Linked DNA regions of Nothobranchius furzeri. The protein of the gene in region 1 purifies or fractionates together with the protein of each later gene. This does not show direct contact. Links are inferred from orthologs where the notes say so. Each region holds a gene or a part of one and is shown on either strand. Other genes may lie near its edges.

Region 1 (3,821 bases):
AGTCGGGGGTTGTTTACTATCACTGTTTTAGCAGATCTCCTTGTGAAACGTCACCAGCTGCCCAGGGCGAAGACCGAAAGTTAGTTTCTGTTTTTCCCGCGCCGGTAAAAAACGTCAGATTTTCTTTAAATTCCAGCCATGAAAATCCAAAAACCTTTTTCACCTGAGGTTTTAATACTTCTTTACACATGCCATTCAAAGGAATTTTGCCTCTGGCCAATATCTTTAATAGCAGCAGATTCTTCTCTATACACGTCTAGGTTGAGCCATATTCGCTCACTCTTCTTTACAGAGCTGTTCAGGTTGGGTCAGATTGGATGGTAAGTGTTGGTGACTGTAATCTTCAGATCTCTCCACAGATATTCGGTGGGATTCGGGTCTGGGCTCTGACTGGGACACGCGGGGACCTTCACTTTTGTCTCCTCCAACCACTGAGTGGTCTGTTTAGCTGTGTTCTTTGGAAGGAGGGTCCTAGTATTAAACAACGACACTTGTTTATTCTAGACTTTACTGAGCTCCTTGGTATTGGTAGAGCCTTTGAGATGCTTTTGTATCTGTTTCCTGCCTCGTGTCTGTCCACAACCCTGTCCCTGAGACCTTGTGATAGTGGTCTGCCACAGGAACAGCTGTTTCTGTGCTACAACTGATCCCAGGCCAGTAACCCGTAGCTAAGGAAATGGTGGTTACATTCTCTGAGTGAGTGAAATGTGTTGTTAGGGTGGCTGATCCTTTATTCATCTCAGCATTTCTTGTTTTTTAAACTCTTCTTTCCTGTATTTACCTGTAATCTTATTTTCTTCTTCCTTTTCTTTAAGTGTATGTGCTGCTGTAGCAAGAACATTTCCCTAAAGTGGGATTAATAAAGATTATTCTATTCCAAACTGTAACAGATATTCTTCAATGAATGCTGTTGGGTGCATTAAGTAAGTAACGTTGGTAAAATGTGTTTTTGTTTGTTTCCTTTTTAAGGTTGTAAAGCAAAAAAATTAAAGTCTTGGGGTGATCCTTTTCTATACCTCTGTGTTTGTTGGCTCAGGTTCCTGCTTCTTCACCTTTTCTCTTTCACACCCTCCTTCCCTCGGGTCTCCTCTCCTTTCCTTTTTACCCTCTCTTCATCTGCTGTTCCCTTCTTTCTCGATGCCAAGGCCACCGTCTTTACCATTGCCTCCCCTGCTTGTTTCTGACCAATAGGAGGAGATGGACACGCGGCCCAAAGTGTCGTCTCTTCTCAGCCGCCTGGTTAACTACACCAACCTGATGCAGGGGGCCAAGGAGCACGAGGAGGCTGAGAGCATCAGTGACAAGAAGAAAACCTTCAAGGTGTGCAGACGTATTAGCAGTATTTGTCTTTAAGCTAACATTATTGGAACATTATCACTCTGACAGGAAGTCCCTGATTGAAGGTGACTCCTCCTGCTACAAGCAAACCTTTCCTAGTCTCCATTACAAACACAAGTCCTCATGTCTGTCCAGGTCAAATGCTTAAACAATAAAACAAAACCTCAACTTGACTGGTTTCTCCCAGATAGATAATTATTGACTTAATTGAGCGTCCCACGTGCTTTGTTCTACAACTACCGTAAAGGTCAGACCTTCTGAGAAAGCTGGAATGAAGTTTGATGAGATTTCATAAACGACCACAAAAATACATTTTGACAAAATAATTTCATCAACTAACAACACAGGAACTCCCAGCATTTACTGAAAGACACGTTAACGTGTGTCCTGGCTGTGGAAAATGTGTTTAGACTTGACCTGTTTTTGTTTATTTTTAATAACAATGAAGAAGCTGACCTTGCACTGGCAGCTCATAGTGGAGGAATCTCCTTTTGTGAGGGACCACACCAGTCGATGAGTTCCTGTCCAGAATCATATCTAAGACTCAAAGTGCGTTGGGATTTGAACCTGATCTGCACTGATGTGCTCCCTGATAAAAGGCCTTCAGCCACGATAAGTTTGTTTTGGTGCTTCACAAGAATTCCTCGTGTTCACTCGGCTCTGACTCTGAAGCAGGAGAAATGTTGAACCAACACATCTTTAACCCTGCCTTCTGGTTCTACAGTGTTCAGTGTGAGCGTCGGCATCATGGGAGGATTTTCCAGTAAGATTTAAACAAATGTTCACAGATGATGTCAGGGTTTGTGCTTTGGCTCCTTGTGAAACAAATCATCTTGAGTAACCCAGGTTTGTGCAGAAAAGCATCTTATCAAATGTCAACCAAAAGACTTTAGTGGACATTACTAAGAGACTCACAGCCGAAACCGTGACTCTTGGGTTTGGGTTTACACTTTAACATGTAGCAGTTAGCTAAACAGTGTGGGGCCCTGCTGTTAGAGTTTGCATAACTAACTAGTCCCATTGATGTGTCCCAGTCTCCACAGATGGGGACGTTCATGGGCGTCTACCTGCCTTGCCTGCAGAACATCTTTGGAGTCATCTTGTTCCTGCGTCTAACATGGGTAGTTGGAACCGCCGGGGTGCTGCAGGCTCTTTGTATCGTCTTCATGTGCTGCTGTTGTGTGAGTTTCTGTGTCCTTCGACTGAAAACAGACAAGATCAACCCTCCCTTTGTGTGTTTAAGTGACTGTTTGTCTTCTTTAGACGATGCTGACCGCTATTTCAATGAGTGCAATCGCCACTAACGGAGTCGTGCCAGGTATTGCTTCACCTTTACATATTTACATTGTCTCTTGGTGCTCGTGACTCACCTTTGGTCTGGTCTCAGGTTCAGCAAAAAGCCATTCAGAGGACACCCACATAGCCAGTTTATTCTCATAAAATGTCCCGTTAACTTACTGTAGCCACTGTACTCGTGTAACATCTGCCTGTCCTGTCCCTCCCTCTGCTCGTGTCTCTGTCTCTGTCCCTTGTCTGTCCATACATTACAAACCTAGAGTATTTATCTGCCATTGACCTTAACTTTCACTGAAATGCATCTAGAAGGATGCAGCGAATACCAAAGTAGTGTGTTTTTATTCACTTCTTTCTCCTTCAGCATCTTGACATGTAGAAAATCCAACATCTAACATGTCCTGTTTGGACCTTCATCTCCATGCTTTCCGTTTGTCACATGACCAGCCTGTGTTTTTCATGCTTTCTCGACATTTCATTTTAAGGTGGTACTTACTGTTTGTGTGTGGATTCAACATCGATCATACTACCTATATGTAGTGTGGCCATAGACATATAAATATTGGACAATGGGTTTCCATAGCTCCAATAACACGTTTTTGAGGCTAAATGGGAGGTGGCCACCACCGCCATTTTGACCGTGTCACAGGTTCCGTCAAGCCCAGACAATTCCACAAAAGGGAAGAGAGGTGGAGCTGAGGGTGGGGCTGTAAGGCTGGGATCAAATGACGACACCCGGTCGAACTAGCTACAAGCTAACCTGAAGCTAACCCAAAGCTAACGCGGAGGTGGGAGCTAAGCTAATGGAGGTAGCAACCTAGCTACAACCGGAGTTAACTGTGCACAACACCAGAGCTTCTGAGTCAGAGATACGCCGGGCTGACCGCTGGGTAAAACCGGGTGGAACACAGAGGTCTCCGAGACCTCCACAAGCCGGCAGCCGCACAGCAGACAAGCGCCTCTGCGATCTGGGATGCGCAGAGCTGCCGCTGGGGAGAACCGGATGGAAAGGTTTCCATCCCAGAGCTCCACAAGTCGGCAACCCGCGCATCAAACAGAAGCCGCGATCAGACAGAGATGCGCCGAGCTGCGGGGAGGGGAGAATGGGTGGAAAACATCGGTCTCCCGAGAGCTCCACAAGCCGATAGTCGGAACCCAGCTCCACCAACATGTTATATTTCAACCCATTT
Region 2 (3,821 bases), on another chromosome or scaffold:
ATGATTTTGCCACATTACCGCCGCTGTCTGACCATCGACATACGTTTGTGGACAATGGGTTTCCATAGGCTCCAATAACACGTTTTTGAAGATAAATGGAAGGTGGCCACCACCGCCATTTTGACCGTGTCACAGGTTCCGTCAAGCCCAGACAATTCCACAAAAGGGAAGAGAGGAGGAGCTGAGGGTGGGGCTGTAAGGCTGGGATCAACTGACGACACCCGGTCGAACTAGCTACAAGCTAACCTGAAGCTAACCCAAAGCTAACGCGGAGGTGGGAGCTAAGCTAACGGAGGTAGCAACCTAGCTTCAACCGGAGTTAACTGTGCACAACACCTGAACTTCTGAGTCAGAGATACGCCGGGCTGACCGCTGGGTAAAACCGGGTGGAACACAGAGGTCTCCGAGAGCTCCACAAGCCGGCAGCCGCACAGCAGACAAGCGCCGCTGCGATCTGAGATGCGCAGAGCTGCCGCTGGGGAGAACCGGGTGGAAAACATCGGTTTCCATTCGAGAGCTCCACAAGCCGGCAGCCCGCGCAGCAGACAGAAGCCGCGGCGATCAGAGATGCGCCGAGCTGTGGGGAGGGGAGAAACGGGTGGAAAACAGAGGTCTCCCGAGAGCTCCACAAGCCGATAGTCGGAACCCAGCTCCACCAACATGTTATATTTCAACCCATTTTGTAAAGTGCAGCATTATGTTAAATGTACTGGGTTTTACCCTGTTACATTTAAATTTCATGGTTAAACAGTACATGTTAAAATCTAAGCTCAGCTCGGCAGTGACCTAAAATACATAAATATAATTTTACTTACCGAAAAAAATGAAGTGGAGACTCCTTGGACGCTCTATTAGTGCAATTAATGCCACAGCAAGTCATTTTGTCCAACAATTGCACAAATAATATCCAAAAAAGAATACACAAATGGCACAACTAAGGGTCTAAGTTGAGAGACTGAAAATGACTGACCAGTTTTCAGGCTGAGGCCTTTCTACGGAGCTAGCTCTGTGGTCACGTGGGTCTGATGTGGTGGTCACGTGGGTCTGATGCTCATTAATTATACAGAATTTTAGGCTTTTAATACACTTAAACAGAAGAGTTTGAAAAAAATTCTCCCCCCTCAGAGTTGTCATGAGTGTAAACTAGATCATTTAAACCTAAAACATGTTTTGGTACCAGGCTGTAAACATGTTTATTTCTGCTATGAAATAGGTATTTTTAACATGGGAGTCAATGAGGATTTGCTCGCCTCTGACACCAGCCCCCAGCGAATGAGGGTGGAGCTGCAATTTATTTCACTTCCGCGTTTGCCTCAATTTTTGACCTGCATTGTGGGGGCTTGTGTCTGACCCATCGACATGGTCTGATCGCCTATAAATGACTTAAAGCTCCCTGACGCCGCCACGGTAATGCGGCAAATTTACGGCATTGTTTTCTAAAATCGGCTACTGTGACGCTAGCAGGGAACCTTAAGAAAGGGGTTGGACCTTTTGAAAAAAAAATTTTTAAAGCTTGGTCAAACAGCTTTTTTCAAGAACTATTACTGCACCTTTAAATAAAATTTAGCAGCAACACGGGCTGCCTGCTAATGTGCCTGTTTGTAAATCAGCTCTGCAAATATTGACAAATATCAGCCCGTCATATTAGTCTTAAACATAAACAACTTTTTAACAATTTGCAGGTCATTTCATCTTAGTTCTTTTCACGTTTATGGACAATTTCAAGTTTTTTGGGATGAGGAATACAACCTTGTGCATCTACGGGTGGTAATATTTAAAGACCTGTTAAGTAAAGAATATTGTTCATTCACGCTCTATCTAAAAGCAACAAATGCAATTTTAAACGGGCTGAATTTGTGTTGTGTTGCTCAAGGTGAGGAGAGTTCCAGGCTCCAGTGGCCACCTGCACAAGACGGAGGATGGAGACTGGGAGTGGAGCGACGACGAGCTCGATGAAGGCAGCGAGGAGGGGAAGGCGGCGGTGAATCAGGGCAGGGTGAGCACAACAAAATCCATAAAGTTATTAAAGCTGTGCATGTCACACCTAACCCAACAGATCAAACTGTTCTGCACCACCCTCGTTCATTTCTGCCCTCCTTGGTCAGTTAGTTTTATAGCAGATGGCTGAGAAAGTCTGCCATGAGGTCACTATAGTGAGCTGGAAGATTGCTGTACGGATTTTAGACAGGAGGAAGAAGATTGCTTTGATCAAAGAGCCTTTTGATAAAGACTCAACTTTAATGGATGATGTAATTAATAATATCTCACAATGGTTTAAAAAAGAAAGACACTGCTGAAGGAATATCATGATCATTTCCTTCTGTTTATGGTAATCCTGTTACTTTCAGACAGTTTTGTATCATAAAAAGAAAAAAAAGTATTGAGCGAACAAACATTAAAAAACACTGCAAATATTAAAATTATGAGCAGTTTGTTTCTTTTCTGTAGGAATGTTTTAAAATAGATTTTAATATTTGTTTGCATGATTATGTGAAAATGTTCTTTTTTCCCCTCTGTTTAGTCCCGAAGGCTCAAATATGAGGCCAAAAATGTAAGTTAGTTTTTCATCCTTGTACTCGTTATATTTATATGAATTAACAATTTGAAAACACTTTGCTTCATTTAGTAATCCTACTAACATTTAGAAAAATGTTTGTATCCTAATTTTAAACCTCCAAGTTCTGTGATTTCCAAGTAAGAAAAGAAAAATAGACTATCAGAGTCCGTTAATGTTGGTTAAACTGCATTTTGTCTTCATAAAATGTGCTCTGGTTTGATATTTAGCAGGCATTTGCACAACTATGCCCTCTGATTTTGTTCCTCCTAGAATGAGGAAGATGCCAACAATGTCCCTACAGAAGGCTTGTCTGTTCAGCATCCCCAGGTGAGGGAATCTGCAGTAGCTGCACTAATTTGTCATGCTTCAGTGACCTTGATGATCGTGTGTGCGTGCGTGTGCGTGCGTGCGTGTGTGTGTGTGTGTGTGAGTGAGAATGTCTGTTTTCAGGATGGATGCTTTCAGCAGTAATAACTCAGTAAATAGCTGTCATTCTGACAGTGCCAGCTCAGTAGATAGGTGTATCTCATCTGAAGACTTACTACCATTGTAAATCATTTTCTGCGTTTATTGTCAGTTTAAAGAGAGTTTGAGGCGAGGTCTCTTAGAAATAACTCTGATAACTATTTTGCAGCCATTTTTCTTCCGTAACATCCATAAAACCAATTGGTCATTTAAAACTTAATATCAGTGTTAAGTCTCTCGCACCACTTTATTTTATGTAGTTTTCATTTCCCCTCTCCACTTCCTCCACAGCTGTTTCATTTTCAGGCAAACATGCAACATAGAGTTTAGTTTCCTTTATTTGGACTATTTGTTAATTTTTTTCCAGTGTATACTTTGTGTCAGTTTTATCTCTTATTGCCTGATTAAAAATAGTACACTGCAAAAAGTGATTTTCAAGAAAGTAAAAACAGTTGGGATTTACGAAATAGGCTTTTTTTTTAAATAGATACCCGATATATGCGGGTAAGAAAAAAAAGGAAAAAAAATTGTTTTAGGTAACTAAAGTTGCAAAATACTATCTCAATTAAAGTTACGCAAGTTGAGCCAAAGAAAAATATCTCAAGCTAATACCTTGGATCTGTCATATATGTCATTTTGAGAGGAGAACTAGCTAAAGAGTTGTAACTCTAAAGAGATGTATAACCCGTGCATGGTATGTAAAAGTTAAAGAGTAAAACTCATACTGATAATTTCTGATTTTACACTTGAATGGATCGGACATCCCTAAAAAAGCCTTGTTTTTAGACATTTTATCTTA

The links.
Region 2: the proteins of solute carrier family 12 member 6 (region 1) and stk39 purify together in Homo sapiens (affinity purification with mass spectrometry; 3 studies listed by BioGRID and IntAct, with this or other methods). This does not show direct contact. The link is inferred for Nothobranchius furzeri from reciprocal best matches to the Homo sapiens genes SLC12A6 and STK39.

The regions. Positions count from the first base shown.
Region 1 is NC_091742.1:80,351,608-80,355,428, forward strand, and holds part of solute carrier family 12 member 6, read left to right. Parts: intron 1-1,191; coding exon 1,192-1,320; intron 1,321-2,372; coding exon 2,373-2,519; intron 2,520-2,601; coding exon 2,602-2,656; intron 2,657-3,821.
Region 2 is NC_091754.1:20,095,387-20,099,207, reverse strand, and holds part of stk39 (STE20/SPS1-related proline-alanine-rich protein kinase), read left to right. Parts: intron 1-1,873; coding exon 1,874-1,996; intron 1,997-2,521; coding exon 2,522-2,551; intron 2,552-2,827; coding exon 2,828-2,884; intron 2,885-3,821. UniProt on the Homo sapiens protein: Effector serine/threonine-protein kinase component of the WNK-SPAK/OSR1 kinase cascade, which is involved in various processes, such as ion transport, response to hypertonic stress and blood pressure.